Rattus norvegicus: one gene and its partner. The protein of the gene in region 1 purifies or fractionates together with the protein of each later gene. This does not show direct contact. Links are inferred from orthologs where the notes say so. Each region holds a gene or a part of one and is shown in the gene's direction. Other genes may lie near its edges.

Region 1 (10,247 bases):
AGTCTGCCCCATCCCTCTTCCTAAGAAGGAAACACTGTTCTTCCTTTGAAGGTGGCCCGTTTTCTCTCACTTGACTTCTCTTTGTTCTTTGTTTTGATGTGATTTTTTTCCTTTCATCTTCAGCCTGCCTTTGGTTCCCTCCTTAGCTTATGAGCATGTTCTCAGTCTCCCTCTACCCCAGCCCCATTCTGAAAAACTGCTTCCTTCTCAGTCGTGCTGATCTATTGTCCTCCCCAGAGTTAGTGGGAGCAGTTTACACCCAATAATTTTCACCCCTCAGACCACTTTGTTAGCACTGATTCTTTCAAAAATGTTCAGTTTACTGTTAGCCACCTGGTTACAGACCATTGGTTTCTCTGTGTTGCAGTGTGCTCCTGATTAGTGATTTCTCCATTTTAAGCTTTCTTGTGGTAAAACGTGATGCTGCTGTGAATGTGGACCAGTGAGAGGGCTGGCTCAGTTGACAAGTGAGTTGGCTCAAGGGTAAAGACCCTAGGCACTTGCTGATCCTGACAACTTGAGTTCAACCCCTGGGATTCATGCTGTTGACAGAATGGACAGACTCCTTGCAAGTTGCTTTCTGCCCTCTACAAATGCAATACATAAATAGAATGCAATTTATTTTTTTTTAAAAAGCCAAAGGTTGAATGAGAGGAGGCAAATGTGGACATGCACACCTTTAATCTCAGCACTCTGGAAGCAAAGGCAGGTGGGTATTTGTGAGTTCAAGGCCAGCCAGGGCTACACAGTGAGACCTTGCTTGCTTCAAACAAAACAAGTTATAAGGGGCCAAACAGTAGTTAAGAGTGCTTGCTGAAAGCTGGGCACACGACTTTAGTTCTAGCATTCAAAATGTAGGCAGATCTGAGTTTGAGACCAGCCTAACCTACAAGAGTTCCAGAACAACCAGAGCTGTTATGGAGGAGAAACTTTGTGTATCAGAGAAGGAGGAGGAGGAGGAGGAGGAGGAGGAGGAGGAGGAGGAGGAGGAGGAGGAGGAGGAGGAGGAGGAGGAGGAGGAGGAGGAGGAGGAGGAGGAGGAGGAGGAGGAGGAGGAGGAGGAGGAGGAGGAGGAGGAGGAGGAGGAGGAGGAGGAGGAGGAGGAGGAGGAGGAGGAGGAGGAGGAGGAGGAGGAGGAGGAGGAGGAGGAGGAGGAGGAGGAGGAGGAGGAGGAGGAGGAGGAGGAGGAGGAGGAGGAGGAGGAGGAGGAGGAGGAGGAGGAGGAGGAAAAAGAAGGAGGAAGAAGAAGAAGAAGAAGAAGAAGAAGAAGAAGAAGAAGAAGAAGAAGAAGAAGAAGAAGAAGAAAGAAGAAGAAGAAGAAGAAAAGCAACAACAACAAAAAAGAATGCTTGCTGCTCTTCGAGAGGACCCACATCTGGCAGCTTTCAACTGCCTGTAACTCCAGCTCCAGGAAATGATGTCCTCTTCTGGCCTCTGAAGATACTGTACTTAAGTACACAAACTCCCAGGTGGACACACACATATAAACATAATTAAAGGGCTGGAGAGATGGCTCAGCGGTTAAGAGCACTGACTGCTTCCAGAGGTCCTGAGTTCAAATCCCAGCAACTACATGGTGGCTCATAACCATCTGTAATGAGATCTGATGCCCTCCTCTGGTGTGTCTGAAGACAGCTACAGTGTACTCATATAAAATAAATAAATCTTTAAAAACATAGTTAAAACTAAAAGAATATCCAAGGCTATATAGATATAGACTCTGTCTCTAATTAAATAAAAAAGTAAAATCTTTTAGATAAAGCAAGATATAATAAAGCCATCTGGCTCCATGACCCAACAGATAAAGGTACTTGCCCCTAAGCCTGACAACCTGAGTTTGAGCCCTGGCACCAAAATGGTGGGAGGAGAGAACCATCTCTGCGGGTTGACCTCTGACTTTCAGGTATACATGCACACACAGCACTCAAAGAGATATAAAGAATAACTATAACCCAAGTGTGGTGACTTAGATCTATAATCTCAGCACTCAGGAGGCAGAAGCAAGTAGGCCTCAGAACAACCCGGTTTACAAAGCGGCACTGTGTGGAGTTTGTGTGCACACACATATCTGGTGGTGAAAATTAAGTCAGCCAACATTGGCAAAAAACAGAGTGTGACACTAAATCACCTGTCTTCTCCAGCCCTTCCAGTCTCCTTCAGAGACATTACTGTCTGACACTAAAGCGTTGGTGTTCCATCTTGTGTCCTTCTTTCTCAAGTCTCATCTACTCTAGCATGTTCTCTCTCTTCTTCCCTCCACCTCTGTTCTATTGTCATATATACACACATCCTACTGCCTGTTCCAAGTCCTGGGATTAAAGGTATCTGCCACCATGCCTGGCTTTGTTTTTATTCTTTAAGTTTTGTAGGCTGTCCTTGAACTCCCTCTATATCCCAGCAAACCTTGCGGTTTTAATCCTCCCACCTCAGCCAAGTAACTGAGATTACAGGCCTGTGCTACCAGCTCAGAGAGACAGAGACAGAGATGGGAAGGGGGAGAGAGATTTGTGTATATGTGTGTGCATGTGTGCAGGCACAGGCATCCTAGTGTCAGAAGAAAGTGCTGGCTCCTCTGGAGCTACAGTTACACACACAGTTTGTTTGGTTTTTGTTTTTTGTTTTTTTTTCAGAGCTGGGGATTGAACCCAGGGCCTTGCGCATGCTAGGCAAGCGCCCTACCACTGAGCTAAATCCCCAACCCCACAGTTTGGTTTTTGTTTTGATTTGTTGCTTTGTTTTTGTCCGCTTGGGATTCCAACTCAGGTTCTGTCTCTCTAACTGCGGTTGTCGACACACACACACACACACCCCTGCCCCCCCAACCCTGAGACAAGGTCTCACTCTAGTTCTGGAACGGACTGGGATTGACTATATAGCCCAAGATGGCCTCCAACTTGCAGCAGTTTCCTGCCTCTTAATTCTAAATACTGAAATTACAGGAATGAGCCACTGGGTTCTGGGTTGTCTCTGTCTTCAAAAGAAATAGTGACCCAAAGCTTTGACTGAAGGCGCTCCCCTTGCTCCCACTCTGGAGGAGAGGGTCTCCAGAGACATTCCAAACAAAAGAAGCCATTTGATCTTCAATTACCCACATCCCCACTTATCTGATCTGGGGTCTGGTGAAGGAGGACAGCAGGAACTAAGCACAACATCCCACACCTTTCCAGCACAGCCCTGCAGACTTCCACAAGGCGGCGGAAGCCACCCTGTCTCACAGCTATTGCCTCCTCTCACACGTGCTCCCCAGGAGAAAGGCCCCGCCCACTATGAGCTGGTACGGTCACCTGTGATCTAAGTTAGGTCATCCTGAGAAAGGCAGCCAGAACAGAACGGGGTCAGAAGCGTGAACGGGGAACTAGTCCTCTTTAACCAGCTCTTTGAAGCCAGCTACTCACAGGTGTGGACATGATAACCCATGACTGGTTTCTAACTCTGGGGAAAATGAGTCTGCATGCCTCACTCTACGGCAACACAAGCCACAGACCCTTTGTTCATGTGGACTTGCCCTCTTACACACCCTGTGGCCTTTCTTTATATTTTATAGTACTCCAGTTTAGGACGTTTTGGAAGCGTGATGTAAATATTAGTCACCTGAGGAGGTCCTCTTGCCAGGGACAAATTTCTTCTATGCCTGCTGACCTCTGGTGGTGAGATTTTGAACTGTAGGTTCCCTTCCCAGTTGTTGGCCGGTTGGCAAACATGCTATCTGGTACACACTTCTCAGCAATCCCAATTCAAATGTTGAAATTCTGTAGACAGTGAAAGTGTTTTTGTTTGTTTGTTTTTGTTTTTTTGTTTGTTTTTGTTTTTGAGACATAGTATATGTAGCCCTGGCTGTCCTAGAATTTGCCATTAACCAGGCTGGCCTTGAACTCAGATCCATCTGCCTCTCTAAGTGCTGGGGTTAAAGGCCTGCACCATGCCCACTATGGAAACATTTTTTAAAATATTTATTTATTTATTTATTTATTACGTATACATCATACAGCTTTCTGCCTGCTTGTACGCCTGCAGACCAGAAGATGACACCAGATCTCTTTACAGATAGTTGTGAGCCACCAGGTGGTTGCTGGGAATTGAACTTAGGACCTATGGAAGAGCGGTCAGTGCTCTTAACCATTAAGCCATCTCTCCAGAGAGAGAAACATTTCTTTAGCCTCTGAAGTTTGCATTTGTTTTAAGGCAACATTGTATAATACAGAGAACAGAGTGTGGGATTTGGAGTCATACATACCCAGGATAAAATCTCACTCTGCTTTTTTTTTTTAATATTTATTTATTTATTTAGTGTATATGAGTACACTGTAGCTGTCTTAGACACACATCAGATCTCATTACAGATGGTTGTGAGCCACCATGTGGTTGCTGGGAATTGAACTCAGGACCTCTGGAAGAGCAGTCAGTGCTCTTAACTGTTGAGCCATCTCTCCAGCCCAGGAGCATGTGTTCTTATTTTATTTCATTTGCTTGGGTGTTTGACATCACATGCACGCCTGTGCCCATAAAGGCCAGAAGAGGACATCAAATCTTTTGGAACCATAGTTACAAACAGTTGTGAGCTGCCATGTGGGTAAACCAAACATGATTCTTCCACGAGGGCTCCAAGTGCTTTTGATCACTGTGGCATCTCACCAGGTCTTCTCTGAAAAATTTCACATCCTTTCTGATTTTTGAGTTTGAAAAATGAGATCAACTTTGTGAAGTCTTCTCTGTTCAGGATGCTACAAATGAGTTCTCAATCCATGGGAACCATCTTGGGCAGAGCTGAGCGCCCAAAATATCTTTCTGAAAAAGACGGAAGGTCCAGCACCTTCTTCCAAGGTCAGTAAGGGATAGAGATTTCAGAATTAATTATCACAGGGTTCTCAGCAGGACAGCCAAGGTCCCTTCCTCCCTGCTCTGCAGAGAAGAGAGGAGGTAGTTGAAGAGAGAGATTGGTTCTCTGCTCCTCCCTTTTTCTCCCTGTTTTCCTCACACCCACCTCTCCCCCACAGCAGCCTTCTCCCCCACAGAGACTGGGATAGGGCAGAGGGGGGCGGAGTTGGGGATTGAGGGCTTGGAAGCCCCACAGTGCCCTGTATTTGTAGGAAGCGTTGACGAGGGTAGCTGTGCTGGTGTGTGCTGTCCTGCTGACATCCTTTAGTAGGATGCTGGGGACACTGGGGCTTTGGACACTGCTTCCTGCAGCTGCACAAGGTAAGTGTCTACAGAGAGGGGCAGGGTCTTTACACCACTCAGTAAGGGAAAGGTGTACTTGAAGCAGCAGCCACCCATTTGAAAGAGGCCAGGGGGCTGGGAGGAAAGGCAGAGCCCAGGTTCCCATGGTGGGGCTTAGAGCTCAGGCCTCTGCTGAGCCAGTGTCCTGTGGCTCTGCTGTACTGACCTGGGATCTAGACATCATGTTTTGTCTATGCTTGACTGCTATTTGTCCTTGCCTTCACTCCCTTCTTGACTCCCTTCACCTTGGGCTTCAGTATCCCCAAACAGGAGGACCTGTGTGTTCTTTGAGGCTCCTGGAGTTCGGGGAAGCACAAAAACACTGGGGGAAGTGGTAGATGCAGGACCAGGCCCCCCGAAGGGTATCCGCTGCCTCTACAGCCATTGCTGCTTTGGGATCTGGAATCTGACCCATGGCCGGGCACAAGTGGAGATGCAAGGTGAATGACAAAACACGTGGTGGGCGAGAGGCATGTCTAGGTTAAGGGAGGCAGCCAAAAGGAAGGGGAGAAGTGGAATGTGTAGAGGGGGGAAAAGGCATGTCAGATGCCTTTGACAGAGCCCGGATTTGTTCTCTGTCCCCAAACCTTATGGAACTCTCTTTCCTTTCCCTCCTTCCCCTAACCCCACCCCTTCAGGATGCCTAGACAGTGATGAACCCGGCTGTGAGTCCCTCCACTGTGACCCCGTCCCCCGAGCGCACCCCAGCCCCAGCTCCACACTCTTCACATGCTCCTGCGGTACCGACTTCTGCAATGCCAACTACAGCCATCTGCCTCCTTCAGGAAACCGAGGGGCTCCCGGCCCCCAGGAGCCTCAGGCTACCCCAGGTAATTGCCTTCCCCAGGTTACTAGAGCCCACTGGGGAGCAGAAGCATAGGTCAGGGTGAGAACCGGGGCCAGTTCTCACCCCACCTCCGCCCAAACTTTCCCTCCTCCTGGCCTTGGAAAGTTGGTTGCCCTGGTGACTGGGAGATAAGGGGGCTTGCGACCAGCATGGGGGTGGATTGGAAAGTAATCTCTTTGAAGAGGGGAGAGGTTCAGTGCTCACCCCCGTGTGCCGTGCCATCTTCCCTTGCTGTCCAGGTGGGCCCATCTGGATGGCGCAGCTGCTGCTGGGAGTGTTCCTTGTGCTGCTGCTGAGTATCATCATCTTGGGTACCGACCTCTCCCACCCCTCCCTTGTGATAGCATGACACTTGCCCAAAGGGCCAAGCCTCCTCTGGGCCCTGCTGAGCCCCCAGGTCTGGGATTTTCTTTTACATTTCCTTGCAAGATGCTCTCTTCCCACATAGCTCCCCTGGCTGTCTCCATCCTGTGCACCCTACCCTAAGACTCTTCTCTACTTCAGCCCTGTTACAACGAAAAGCCTGTAGAGTGCAAGGTGGGTCAGACCCGGAGCCGGAGCCAGGCTCAGGAGGAGACTGCAGTGAGGAACTGCCCGAGTTGGCTGAGCTGCGCTTCTCCCAGGTGCTCCAGGGAAGGAGGGTGGGCTCTTTTGGCACTCCTGGAGGTTCTGCTGGGGAGGAAGGCTGGCCCTGGCGCTAGCTCTGAGGCCCACACTCAATGCAGTGTCTCTACCAGGTAATCCAGGAAGGAGGTCATGCAGTCGTCTGGGCTGGGAGGCTCCAGGGTGAGATGGTAGCCATCAAGGCCTTCCCCCCAAGGGCTGTGGCCCAGTTCCGAGCTGAGCGAGCTGTGTACCAGCTGCTAGGCCTACAGCATAACCACATTGTTCGCTTTATCACTGCTGGCCAGGGAGGCCCTGGCCCCTTGCCCTCTGGGCCTTTGCTGGTACTGGAACTGTACCCTAAGGTGAGCATCAAGAAATCTCTGTAGTCTATATTATGCACTACTCCTATGGGGCGCTACATGACCACTGGGCCTTACTCATGCCTACTCTCCTGCCTTATACTTTCTTTTGAATACACACACACACACACACACACACACACACACACACACACACACACACCATTCTTTTTTTTTTTTTTTTGGTTCTTTTTTTTCGGAGCTGGGGACCGAACCCAGGGCCTTGAGCTTCCTGGGTAAGCGCTCTACCACTTGAGCTAAATCCCCAACCCCCACACACACCATTCTTGAGACAGTTTCTCAGTGTAGCCTTGGCTGTCTGTCTTGGAACTTGTGCTGTAGACCAGGCTGTCCTTGAACACACAGAGATCTGCCTGCCTCTGCCTCCCACGCACTGGGATTAAAAGCTTGTGCCACTCCTGCCTGGCTAGAAGAGGGCCATTGTTAAGTACACATCCAGGAATAGCTTTGTAAACTCATTCATATGTTCATTTAACCAATATTTATAAACTATGTGGCAAGCACTTCTAGATGCCGAGAGAAGCCCACATGGCCCCTGGTTTTACAGGCGTCATAGACTAATGGGTCATAGAAAAGGAAGTCGCAAATGTCAAGTATGGTGTGCTGAGAGCTGGGACAGGGCACTGGGAACAGTAAGAAATAATAATGATACAATTCAACCTGAGGGACGGTCGAGATGGCTCAGCTGGTGAAGATGCTTACTTACTGTGCAAGCCTTGGGGACCAAAGTTCAGTTCCCAGAACCCAAGTCAAGGGAGTAGAGAACTCTACAAAGTTGTCCTCTGACCACCACAATGCACTCAGATGTGGCTTTTAAAAAAGTGTATATAGGTGTTTCACCTGCACATATGTCTGTGCACTGTGTGCACACCAGGCACCCATGAAAGTCAGGAGAGGAAATTAGCTCTCCTGGGGCTTTCAGAATAGCTGGGTAATGGGAATTAAACTCCAGTCCCCTGGAAGAGCAGCCAGTGTAAGTACTGAACCATTTCTCCCAGTTTTAATAAAAAGAAAAGATGTATATAACCTGAGGTGAGAGATTAACAAGAAGATGCCAAGCCAAGCTGGATAGTAGGACTTGACTATAAGAATTCCAGCCTATGGGGGTTGGGGATTTAGCTCAGTGGTAGAGCGCTTGCCTAGGAAGCGCAAGGCCCTGGGTTCAGTCCCCAGCTCCGGGAAAAAAAAAAAAAAGAATTCCAGCCTATGGAGAGATGGCTTAGTGGTTAAGAGCACTGACTGTTCTTCCAGAGGTCCCGAGTTCAAATCCCAGCAACCACATGATGGCTCACAACCATCTGTAATGAGATCTGATGCCCTCTTCTGGTGTGTCTGAGGACAGCGGCAGTGTACTCATATATAATAAATATAAATAAATCTTTTAAAAAAAGTGAACTCCAGCCTAGCCTGGGTTACATATGACCCTGACTCAAAGAAATAAATCAGGCCTGAGCGCAGTGGGGCATACCCTGAACCCCAGCATTTGGGAGGCAGAGGCAGGCTTATCTATGTGAGTTCAAAGCCAGCTAAGGTTACAAAGTAAGACCCTATCCAAAACAAAACAAAGCCCCCCAAACAAAAGCAAATAAGGTCGACGGCATAGGCAGAGGTGAGACCACATGGAACCTGGGCCTGCTGAACACTGGGGTGCATTTGAAGTCCTAGGCGAGGCACTTTGAACCCATTCACGTGTTTTACTTTCAGAAGCACACCATCAGGTAGGAATTGTATTCAGAGACAAGAAAAGGAAGCTGGTTTGCTCTGGATATGTGATTTGAGAGTCTGGTTCCTCACTGAACTGCTGCTATCTCCTGTTTATCCAGTGTCAGTGCTGTCTGTTCCTTTGAGTGAGATCACCCTGTGCCTTTGCCCTGATTGTACGTCAGCTCCTAGCAAGCTTGAATGCAGTGGCTCTTTCCCAGACTTTACCAGCCTCTACAACTCCTTCATTGCTGAGGTCTTGAGTTCTGGAAAGTTCCCCCTTTGACCACAGTCCTCCTGGGTCTATTAAAGAATAAGTTTTCGGCCCTGGTATATAGCTTAGTCAATAAAGTGCCTGCTGTGCATGAGGGTCTGAATTCAGCTCTCAGAAATGCATTTAAAAAGCCAGATTTGGGGCAGGAGAGATGGTTCAGCAGTTAGGAGCACTGGCTACTCTCCCAGCACCTATGCCAGCTGTCATAATGGCCTGTAACTCCAGGGGATGCAGCGCCCTCTTCTGGTCTCCATGGGCACCTGCGGACACACACATAAGTCGCAATACCCATACTTTTTTTTTTAAAGTTTTTTTTTAATTTATGGGTTTGAGCCCCTCTCTCTTTTGTGGGTGTGTGCACATGGATGTGGGTGCTCTCAGATTAGAGGCCACAGTCCCTGCAGCTGGAGCTATAGGCAGTGTATTGTTGTGGGTCCTGGGAGCCTCTCTAGCCCCCAAAGTAAAATTAATGTTTGTTTGTTTGTTTGTTTGTTTGTTTGAGACAGGGCCTCTCTAGGTAGCCCTGACTATCCTGAAACCAGCCTGAGACCAGGCTGGCCTCAAACTCACAGAGATCCACCTGCCTCTGCCTCCAGAGTGCTGGTATGAAAGGCATGTGCTACCACATCCAGTTAAAACTAAGAGAAATGTTTAAAAAAAAAGAAAGAAAATACTAGAACTCCAGGGGTTGGGGGTTTAGCTCAGTGGTAGAGCGCCTGCCTAGCAAGCACAAGGCCCTGGGTTTGGTCCCCAGCTCCGAAAAAAAAAAAAAAATACTAGAACTCCAGTTGTGGTGGTGCATATCTCTAATCCCCGCACCCCTCTTCCCCCCTAAAAAAAAAAAAAGAAAAAGAAAAAAAGAAGAAAAATCCAGGCATTGTGGTACACATTTGGGAAGTGGAGATAAATTTTTGGCTAGGCACACGTGCTGTCAATCATGGGTGCTTTATAGCCTGACATTTAGTTCATTTTTTCTTTTTTTTTTTTTCGGAGCTGAGAACCGAATCCAGGGCCTTGCGCTTGCTAGGCAGGCGCTCTACCACTGAGCTAAATCCCCAACACCTAGTTCATCTCTATATTGTGGTATTTATTAAGTTCTCCGCTTCCATCACGCTCCCCTTTTCCTGAGGCACAGTGTTGCCTGGGCACACCCGAGCCATTCTAAAGGCGCTCAGCAGGTTCGTGAATGCGGTTCCCAGTTGCTCCTCTTCCATTGGCTCCA
Region 2 (9,883 bases), on another chromosome or scaffold:
CCACACAGGGTGAGGTGATGTGGAGACCCTACAAGAACCAAGGCAAGAGTGGAGGGAATCATTGCTTTCAAAGAAAGCTAGAGGAAACCCATGGTTTTGATGCCCTACCTTCCCGGAGTCGCCCCACCCCCCACCCCCGTCACTCCCCAACACACATTGCTGGCAATCCCAAAACTCACCTTGCTGGGAAAGAGGGGCTGAACAGAGGAGCTCCGCCCTCTCTGGCCTGGGGTCGGGACAGTGGGAGGGGGCGGGTGTCCAGACCCTTTGATGCTGTGTGTGGGCGTGTGGGAGACCCTCCCGATGTATGTCTATCATGCGCGTGCCCAGGCTAGGATAGACCGCTGCTGCTCTGGTGAATTGCCAAGCTGGAGGAGGAGGAGGGATAGAGAAAGGGGACTCCCCGGCTCCTCCCACCCACTCGTGAGTTTGAATGAGCGAGAGGGGGAGGGGCCACAGCGGGTAGGGGTTTTTATGCCCACCACCGCTCCGGGCTCCACGGATGGGGAACACCCCCAAATCTGCAGATCTTTATCGTTTCAGAAAGCCCCCTTTCTAACAGCTCCGGAAAAGCTGGGAAGGGACCCTTCCCAAGCCAAATGGAAAGCACTCTTCTTCCACCTGACCCCACCGCAAAATGCATCCCTTAATCTAAAATAATCCTGGCCCCAGGATGCATCGTGAGTTTCTAAAACCTGTATCAAAACATTGAGAGGGATGTGCGACCCTGAGTACCTCAAACTCAAAACAATGGACTCCTTCAAGCCCCAGCCGAAATTGAGAGGTTAAGGGGAGCTGGAAGAGGCTGTGGGCACCAGCCCCAGATAGTGAGGACCAGGAAAGCCGTGTCCAGTGCTTTCGGGGGTCCCCCTGGGGGCAGGGCTGCCAACGCTGTCGCTGCTTAAACATCAGCGACACCCAGAGGCGAAAAAAGGAGACATTTTTTAGGTGATGGATTCTGGACGAAGAGGGCTGCAGGAGTGGGAGTGGCGCGTGGTGGTGTTAGAGTATGAACTCCCCAGACTGTGTTAATCACCATCTGCTTCTGATCCTCACTCAAGGACGGGTCTGTAACATCTGGCACTACCAACCCTGGAGTTGAAACACTTCTTTCAACCCTAGAGCAGGGTTAAGTCAAGGGGCACTTCAAGCCTCAGTCTCCACTCCACTTGCCACTAAGAATAAAGACGTGAGTACAACACCTGGGATCATCATTGTGGAAGAAGTCAACTGACTCCCAGAAGTTGTTTTCTGACTTCAGAATGTGCACTTATAGAACTCGCCATCTTCCCCATAAATAAATAAATCTAATATTTGTTTTGAGATACCGTCTCTCTACAGCTCTGGCTATCCTGGTACTCACTAGGTAGACCAAACTGGCTGCCTCCACTTCCCAAGTGCTGGAATTAAAGGAATGTGCCACCACCGCCGACCGATGAGTGGAATTTCTTTTTTAAGTACCGGAGCTGATGAGATGGCTCAGCGGGTAAAGGTGCTGTCTACCAAAGCTGGACGACTAAAGTTTGATCCAAAGGGACCTCGAGGTAAAGAGGAGAACTAACTCCAGTAAATGATCTTAAGACCTTCACATGTGTACCCTGGTATTTGTACCTAACACACACACACACACACACACACACACACACACACACACACACACAGAGACTTCTTTTTTTAAAGGACTGGGGCCAGGGAGACGGCTTAGTTGATAAAGGTACTTACTACCAAGTCTGATGACCCACATGGTGGAACAAAACTGACTTCACCAAGTTGTTTTGATGTTCACAGGTGTACAAACACACACAAAATTAATAAAATGTAATTTAAAAAACCTACATATTTAGCTGAACATAGTGGTGCATGCCTTTAATCCTAGCACTCAGGGGGCAGAGGCAGGTAGATCTTTGAGTTTGAGGCCAGCCTGGTGTACAGAGCAAGTCCAGGACACCTGGTTACACTGAGAATCCATCTCAGGGAGAAAAATTCCAAACAAAAAAACCCCTCCAACTTATTTATTTTTTATTTTACGTGTATTGTGTCTGCATATATACCTGTGTGAGAGTGTCAGATCTCCTGGAGCTGGAGTTACAGACAGATATGAGTTGCTATATGGATACTGGAAATTGAACCAGAGTCCTTTGAAAAAGCAGCCAGTGCTCTTAACTGTTGAGCCATCACTTCAGCACCTAAGATGTAATTTAATTAAATATTTATTTGTTTATTTATTTATTTAGCTAGCCAGGTGGTCCTGCTGTATGCCTTTAGTCCCAGCACTTAATCTTCGGAGAATGAGGCAGTCACAGCTCTGAGTTCAAGGCTATTCTCCTCTATAGAGTGAGTTTGAGGAAAGTCAAGGCTACATAGAGTAACTCTGTCTCAAAACAAACAAACAAACAAACAAATAAATATTTTTTTAAAAATTAAGGGCAGGGCTGGAGAGATGGCTCAGTGGTTAAGAGCACCGACAGCTCTTCCAGAGGTCCTGAGTTCAAATCCCAGCAACCACATGGTGGCTCACAACCATCTGGAATGGGATCTGATGCCCTCTTCTGGTGTGTCTGAAGGCAGCTACAGTGTACTTATATAAATAAATAAATCTTTAAAAAAAAATTAAGGGCAGGTCTGGTGTAGTGGTGCACACCTTTAACCCCAGCATTGGGAAGCAGAAGTAGAAAGATCTGTTCATTTGAAGACAGCCTGGTCTACATAGTGAATTCCAGGACAGCCGGAGCTATACAGTGAGACCCTGTCTGGGGAAAAAAACTATTTAAGGGCAAACATCATTAAAAAAAACTATGCGTATTAATATTTTGCCTGCAAGTATATCTGTGTACCACATGCATGCTCGGTGTGGGTGAAGGCCAGAAGGGGGCGCAATATACCCTGAGATGGACTTACCAGATAGGTACGAGCCGCCATGTAGGTGAGGGAGGACCAGCCAGTTCTCCAAACCATTGAGCCATTTCTCCAGGCTCAATTTTGACTTATTTTTTTTTTAGAATGTTTGTTTGTGTAACAACCCTTACGGTCCTAGAAATCACTCTGTAGACCAGGCTGGCCTGGATCCGCCAGATTGCGTCCCCACTGCCCAGCCAATTTTGACTTTTTGACAGTCTCAATATGTACCCTGGCTGGACTAGAACTTGTAGAGAGCCACCTGTTTTCGCCCCTAGCATACTTGGATTACCGTGGGCCACCACGCCCAACAAGACTAACCTTTTGTCTCTAAAGGATGTTCAGTCTGGTTTCGGCGGGAACTTCCAGAAGGCCGCACCACGTACTCCTGGCCCTTTAAAGATGACCTCCGGTTGCCAATGCCGCCGACTCCCGTTGCTAAGGACGAACGTCATGCGCCGACGCTGGGGCGGGGCCGTCGTGCGCGGCGCCCTGGGCGGAAGCGGAAGGGGCGGGGCGGGGCGAGCGGACTCTCTAGCCCTTGTGGGTCCCTGTTCAGCGCCCGGCCGTGTGGAGACCCGGGAGCCAGTCCGGGCCTCCGAGGCGAAGATGGTGGACTACAGCGTTTGGGATCACATCGAGGTGTCGGACGATGAGGACGAGACGCACCCCAACATAGACACGGCCAGCCTGTTCCGCTGGCGGCACCAGGTGGGGCTGTGCGCGCTCATCCCCTTCCCCCCACTCCCGGGACCCCCCGCTCTAGAGTTCTGACCTCTTAGCCAGGCCGCCTGGCGTGGGGGGCGGGGGAGACCTCAGTTCTTGACATCCAGAGCCTCCTGTTCCACAATCTAGACTTTCCCCCTTTCTTTTCTTTCTTCTTTTTTTAAAAACAAAATCTCACTGGGTAGTCTTGCCTGGCCTGGAACTTGCTATATAGAAGAGGCTGGTTTCTAACTCACGGAGATCCTCTTGCCTCTGCCTTCCCAGTGCTGAGGTTAAAGACATGTGCCATCATGCTGGGCTGGACCTTTTAATCCCAGGACTCCTGGATTCTTCATTCTAATTCTTCATCTGTATCTCCGGGCTTTCTCTCTGTGCTGTGGATCTCTTCTGTTTGTACGTTTACTTATTGTGTGTGTGTTCTTGTGTGCACGTGGCACAGCATGCAAAGGAAGATTACAGGATAACTTGCAGAAGTTGGGCCTCTCTTTTCACTTCGTTGGAACTGGGTGTGGAACTCAGGTCACCCCGAGTTGCCACAAGCACCTGTACACTGAGTCATTTTATCAGCTCTTAATACTCTTTAGTCAGAGTCTAGACCCCACCCCACCTCCGAAGCTGACCCATGTGTGTAGGGTCCCCATCATCCTTTGTGGAACCTTTTGTTCTCAGAATTCTTCCTCAGAGTCTGGACCCAGGTTTTGTTAGGTGATCTCATATCCCAGCCATGCACCCACTTCTGATTGCACATCTCCGTTCTGCCTCTCCCCACCCCCTAGAGTCTGGATCCATAAAACTTCGTTCTGATTGTGGCATCTACTTCCCAGGATCTTAGGCACGAATTTCCATTAAGGCCCAGAGACAACCCCCCGAACCCCCAACCCCCTAACTTCCAAACTAAATGAGGGCTGTGCCCTGCTCTTAATTTAATGGTCAATCTTAGTTTGCAGCTGGGATTCCCAGTCCAGGATCGATTTCCCTGGGTTATAGACCAGAGCTACACTTGGGACTTCAGTGTTAGAGCCCCCTTAGCCTCTCTATTTGACCCCCAGCTCCACTCTTGCCCATCATCCAATTCTAGTGGCTTTCCTTATTTTCACCTCCTGTAGATTCTTATTTCCCCTTACTCCAGGAAACCCCACCCACTTAACTTCCGGTCAGAACCTCTGCTCCTAGTAGTATAGTAAGTAGACCCCCATTCTGCCCACATTGGCTCCTGTATGATTTGTAGCCATCATTGAATACTCACCAAACCGGATGGTGATGACACATACTTTTAATCCCAGCTCTCAGGAAGCAGAGGCAGGCGGGCCTGTGAATTCAAGGCCAGCCTGGTCTACAGAGAGTTCCAGCACAGCTAAATAGGGGTACTCTGTTTGGAGGCATGGAGTCCAGTGGCAGGATAGGACAGAGAAAGAAAGTGGGGGAGGGGAGAAAAGGGGGAAAGGAGAAGGAAAAGACAGCTCACCCAATCCCAACCCAGAAAACCAAACCCTTCCTGTCCTACCTGCCCTTCCTCTCCAGTTTCATTGGCCTCTCGAGGGTTCATATCATTCTATTTAACTCTGCACCTCCTGGATCTTGTTCCAACATTACCTTACTTTCTGAGCATTGTAGCACACCTGTAAACTCAGGTCTTAGGAGGTGGAGGTAGAAGGATCTGGAATTCAGAGTTAATCCTTGCTATAGGGCAAATTCTAGGCTATCCTGGACTACGTGAGACCCTGTCTCAAAAACCAAATGGGCTGGAATTCAGTTGTAAGCATTGCCTTGGGCTCCATCTGGCTTAAAAGCTAGCCATGGTGGGGCAGGCCCGTAGTCTCAGCACTGAGAAGATAGAAGCAGGAGGCTCAGAAGTTCAAAGTCATCAGCCACATAGTAAGTATGAGGCTGGCACGGGCTCAGGGAATCCTGTCGATCACTAGGCAGATAAAATAAAGTCCTACACAGTTTTAAATCTGCCCATAACAGATGCCTTAGACTGAGACCGTCAGATCCCCAAGTGTGAGCAAGCCATGCTCTTCCGCCTCTCTTGTGCCAGCATTGCCTGCAGGCCCATAGTGTACTACCTAGATGTAAGGGTGGTCTGAAGATGTAGTTGAGTGGTAGAGCACTCTCTAGCATGCAGGAGGTCCTGGGTTCCATCTCTAGCACAGCAGTAAAGAGACAGTGGCCTAACCTGCCCCCCAAATTAAAGCATCTGTACCCACATACCTGTGTGTCTTTACTCTGTCTAGGTTACATTGTATTTGTGTATGTTCATGCTCATGTATGTGTAAATGTGCCACGCTACCCTGTCACAGTCAGAGGATAACTTGCTGGAATCCGTTCTCTCCACCCACGTGGGCTCGGGATCAAACTCAGGCCGTCAGGGTTGGTAGCAGGCCTTCACCCACTGAGCTCTCTCATCAGCCCTGTGCTTGTTACACTCCCAGGCTGCTGGCAGGTACTCTGCAGTTAGCATTCCACCTTCCTGAGGAAAGCTTCTCCTCTTTACTCCTCGAAAGTCCTTCCCTATCCTCCCCAAATCCAGCAGTCAGCTCTAGTCCCACCTACACACCTATTCCTTCCAGTTTCCTGGGAAGACCGCCTGGCAGGCAGCAGTGCAGACCAGTACCTCACATAGCATTGTGTTAGGAAGCACTGAAGAGCCGCGCACAGCTGGAGAATGGTTATTCTAGGGAACACCTATTTCTGTTTATGAAGAGGTTTGGCTTCCTCCTGGGTGGGAGGGAGGCCTCCTGTGTACTGGTGCAGACCTCGCTTCCTGTCTTGCTGCCATACCTGTAATACTGAGGAGAGAAGTGGGGCCTTCTGCCCTAGCCCACCCCAGAGACAGGCAGGCTCTGGTGTACATTCTAACTGTACCATGTTCCGTGTCCATCTGTGAGGGGCTGGCTTCATAAGTTCTGAGTACAGAGACTTGACAGCTCATATTTCAGGTCTGTGGCCTTGCTGTGCTCTGACTTGGAGGGCTCTGGCTGGCTGCTCTGGGCCTCAGGTCTTCTTGAGAATGGGAGTAGAACCCAGGTGCTCTATACAGTTGCTCTGTATAGTTTCCCAGTATTTAACTGATTCCCTTGAGGAACAGTTCTGTCTCCACTGCTTAGGTGCCTTGTGGTTTGAAGACGGATGTGACAGTGCATGTCTATCATCCCAGCACTTGGGAGGGAGGCAGAAGAATCAGGAACTCAGAGCTACCCTTTGCTACATAGCAAGTAGCGGCCAGCCTGGGCTACACGAGCACCTATGTAAAAATCACACAATCACCAAGCCTGATGACATACCTGCGTTTGATTCTTGGTAGTCACATGGTAGAAAGAGAGAAGTGACAACTACAGGGTGTCCTCTGACCTCCACATCCACACTCTGGCACACATCTGTGCCTGCCACCGTGCACAAAATAAATTAAAATTTGAAATTAGCCAAGCAGTAGTGGCATACACCTTTGATCCCAGCACTGGGGAGCTGTGGTGAATCTGTGAGTTCGAGGCCAGCCTGGTCTACAGAGCGAATTCCAGGTCAGCTAGGGCTTCACAGAGAAACACTATTTCAAAAAATACAAAAATAAATTAATAAAAATAAAAATTAAAAAAACTGGCTTGGCCTGGTGTCACAGGCTTGTGTTCCAGCTCCTGGGGATGCTGTGGCAGGTCACAAGTTCAAGGCCAGCCTCAGCAACGAAAGGAAACACCAGGTCAAACTATGAAATATAAAGGGGTGTGTGCAGCTTGGTAGCAGGCCACTTGTGGAGCAAGTGTGTGGCACTGGGTTCAGTCCTGGGTAGGATCCTATGAGGAAAGAAAGATGGGAAGGTTTGGGAAGTGGGCAAGCAAGCACTGTGTGGTATCAGAAGTCTGAGAACCTTAGTGTCCCCTCTGTGAGGGACGCCAGGCCAGGCTGCTGTCACCAACACCATAGTCCCTGTTTTTAGCTTCAGCTTCCCTGGCATCTACTCAGAGGACACTAGGGAGAGTGGTGGCGGTCCTCCAGAAGCCAGCAGCTTGGCAAGTTCCTGCTCTTTGGAGCCAGTGAGTGCTGACCTTAGAGCCCCTAGGACAGGCCAGGGCTGCTGCATCTAAGGACTTGTCCTGTATGCACACGAGGGGGTTCACATGCAGAGGACACAGGGGGAAACAGGTGCCCTGCTTCCCCAACTCTGCTCATTCTCTTGAGTCAGGGTCTCTCACTGATCCTGGAGCTAGGCTGGGGGCCAACAGGTCCCAGTCATCCTCCTGTCCCCGCTCCCTACAGTACTGGGGTTATAGGCAACACAGTCTGTTTTTGAGTGATAAGTCTCATGTTTTCACAAGCACTCCTCCTTGTCTTCCCTGGGAGCCATGCCTGCTAACACAGTCCCACTGTACATTCCCTGTACAGTCTACCCTCCAGTGCTCCTTACTGTAATTGTCTTAGGTAGGGTCTTATTGCTGTGAACAGGCACCATAACCAATGCAAGTTTTATAAAGGACAACATTTAATTTTTGGGGCTGGCGTACAGGTTCAGAGGTTCAGTCCATTATCATCTTGGTGGGACCATGGCAGCATCACAGCATCCAGCCAGGCATGGTGCTAGAGGATCTAAGTTCTACATCTTCACCCCAAGGAAGCCAGGAATGACTGAGCATCCTCAGGCAGCTAGGAGGAGGGCCTCCAAGCCCACCCCCACAGTGACACACTTCTTCCAACAAGGCCACACCTTTTAATAGTGCCACTCCCAGGGGCCAAGCATATGCTTGATTTTTTTCTTTTCACTAATTGTGTTTGTGCTATAGATGTGTTTTTACACATGTACCCAGAATGCATGTGTGGAGGACAGCTCGAAAGAGTCAGGTCTCTCTTTCTATCATGTAGTTCTCAGGTATCAAACCCAGGTCATCAGGCTTGACTGCACATTCCTGCTGAACCCTTTCGTCCCAGTGCTTTGATTTTTCTCCCCATATGCAAGCACTCATGTGTGTTGGTTCTACTTTTCACTCGTGGTACACTGTTCAGTAAATGTCACCAGAGGCAGATGAACTTACACATGTGAAATCTCAGTACTGGGAAGGCTAAGGAGGATCATCTGCGTCTAGGAGCTAAGGCTAGGCTGCACCACATGCAAGAGCCTGTCTCTGAATGAGTGGATGAGTGGATGACGTCGTGACACAGTGGACACAGTAAAGCTGTGGAGTACTCAGTAATGTGCCCGTCTGGTCGCATAGACCTAGCATCCTGGCCAGCCATGAATTGGATTTGCGAGAGCAGAGACCCCTAGACTACAGAGTGGGTTCTGATCTAGCCTGGGCAACTTCGAGGGACTGTTTTAAAGTGACTAGTGAGAAGCTAGTCATGGTGGTGCTTACCTGCCACCAGAGCCCTAGGGAGAAGGATGTAGGCACTTCACCACAGGTTTAAAGCCAACATCAGCTACACGGTGGATTCCAGGCTACATAGCAAGACTATTTCAAAACAACAGCAAAATAGGGCCAGCTAAAGGACTCAGCAGGTAAAGACACCCAACCTACTCCCAAGCCCGAGGGTCTGAGTTCAATCTCTGGAACTGGGCAATGTCCTCTGCTCTCCACATGCTATGCTATGATGTTATGATGTATGTGTGTGAGCACATATACACACATACATGTTAGAAGCATTAATAAAATGGCTTGGGACATAGTACTTGACCCTAATACTACAAAATAAATACACACACTCACACACATATAACAACTTTGTAATGCATGGTTTGTTTGTTTTTCTGCTGGGCTTGGTGGCACACATCTTTAATCTCAGCAGGAGGCAAAGGCAAGCGTTCAAGTCCAGCCTAGGACAGACAGAGCTACACAGAGAAACCCGCTTAAATGCTTTGGTGAATTTAATCTCCGTGTGTGTGCGTGTGTGTGCGTGTGTGTGTGTGTGTTATGTACCACAAATTAATCTCTGTGTGTGTGTGTGTGTTATGTACCACAATTTAATCTGTGTGTGTGTGTGTGTGTGTGTGTGTGTGTGTGTGTTATGCATGCGTGTGGTGTGGTGTGTACCACAATGCACTTGTGGAGGTCAGAGGACAACTTTGGTGAATTGCTTCTCTTTCCACTCAGGTCCTCAGGCTTGGCAGCCAGTATCTTTACTTTCTGAACCATCTCACTGGCCCTGAAATTGGTTTCATTTCATTACCTGTGTATCTCATCTTTTGAGATAGGGTCTCACTGTGCAGACGAGGATGGCCCTGCAGATCCTTCTGCCTCCATCTGCCATTGTTGGCATTAAAGCCATTTGCTACCAT

The links.
Region 2: the proteins of Amhr2 (region 1) and Cdc37 purify together in Homo sapiens (co-immunoprecipitation; 3 studies listed by BioGRID and IntAct, with this or other methods). This does not show direct contact. The link is inferred for Rattus norvegicus from reciprocal best matches to the Homo sapiens genes AMHR2 and CDC37.

What each region holds. Positions count from the first base shown.
Region 1 is NC_086025.1:135,453,226-135,463,472, forward strand, and holds the start of Amhr2 (anti-Muellerian hormone type-2 receptor precursor), read left to right. Parts: upstream 1-4,696; 5' UTR 4,697-4,821; exon of another isoform or gene 4,822-5,087; 5' UTR 5,088-5,147; coding exon 5,148-5,196; intron 5,197-5,474; coding exon 5,475-5,657; intron 5,658-5,855; coding exon 5,856-6,047; intron 6,048-6,303; coding exon 6,304-6,375; intron 6,376-6,568; coding exon 6,569-6,687; intron 6,688-6,801; coding exon 6,802-7,032; intron 7,033-8,209; exon of another isoform or gene 8,210-10,247. UniProt on the Homo sapiens protein: On ligand binding, forms a receptor complex consisting of two type II and two type I transmembrane serine/threonine kinases.
Region 2 is NC_086026.1:27,960,442-27,970,324, reverse strand, and holds the start of Cdc37 (hsp90 co-chaperone Cdc37), read left to right. Parts: upstream 1-3,394; 5' UTR 3,395-3,504; coding exon 3,505-3,606; intron 3,607-9,883. UniProt on the Homo sapiens protein: Co-chaperone that binds to numerous kinases and promotes their interaction with the Hsp90 complex, resulting in stabilization and promotion of their activity. Inhibits HSP90AA1 ATPase activity.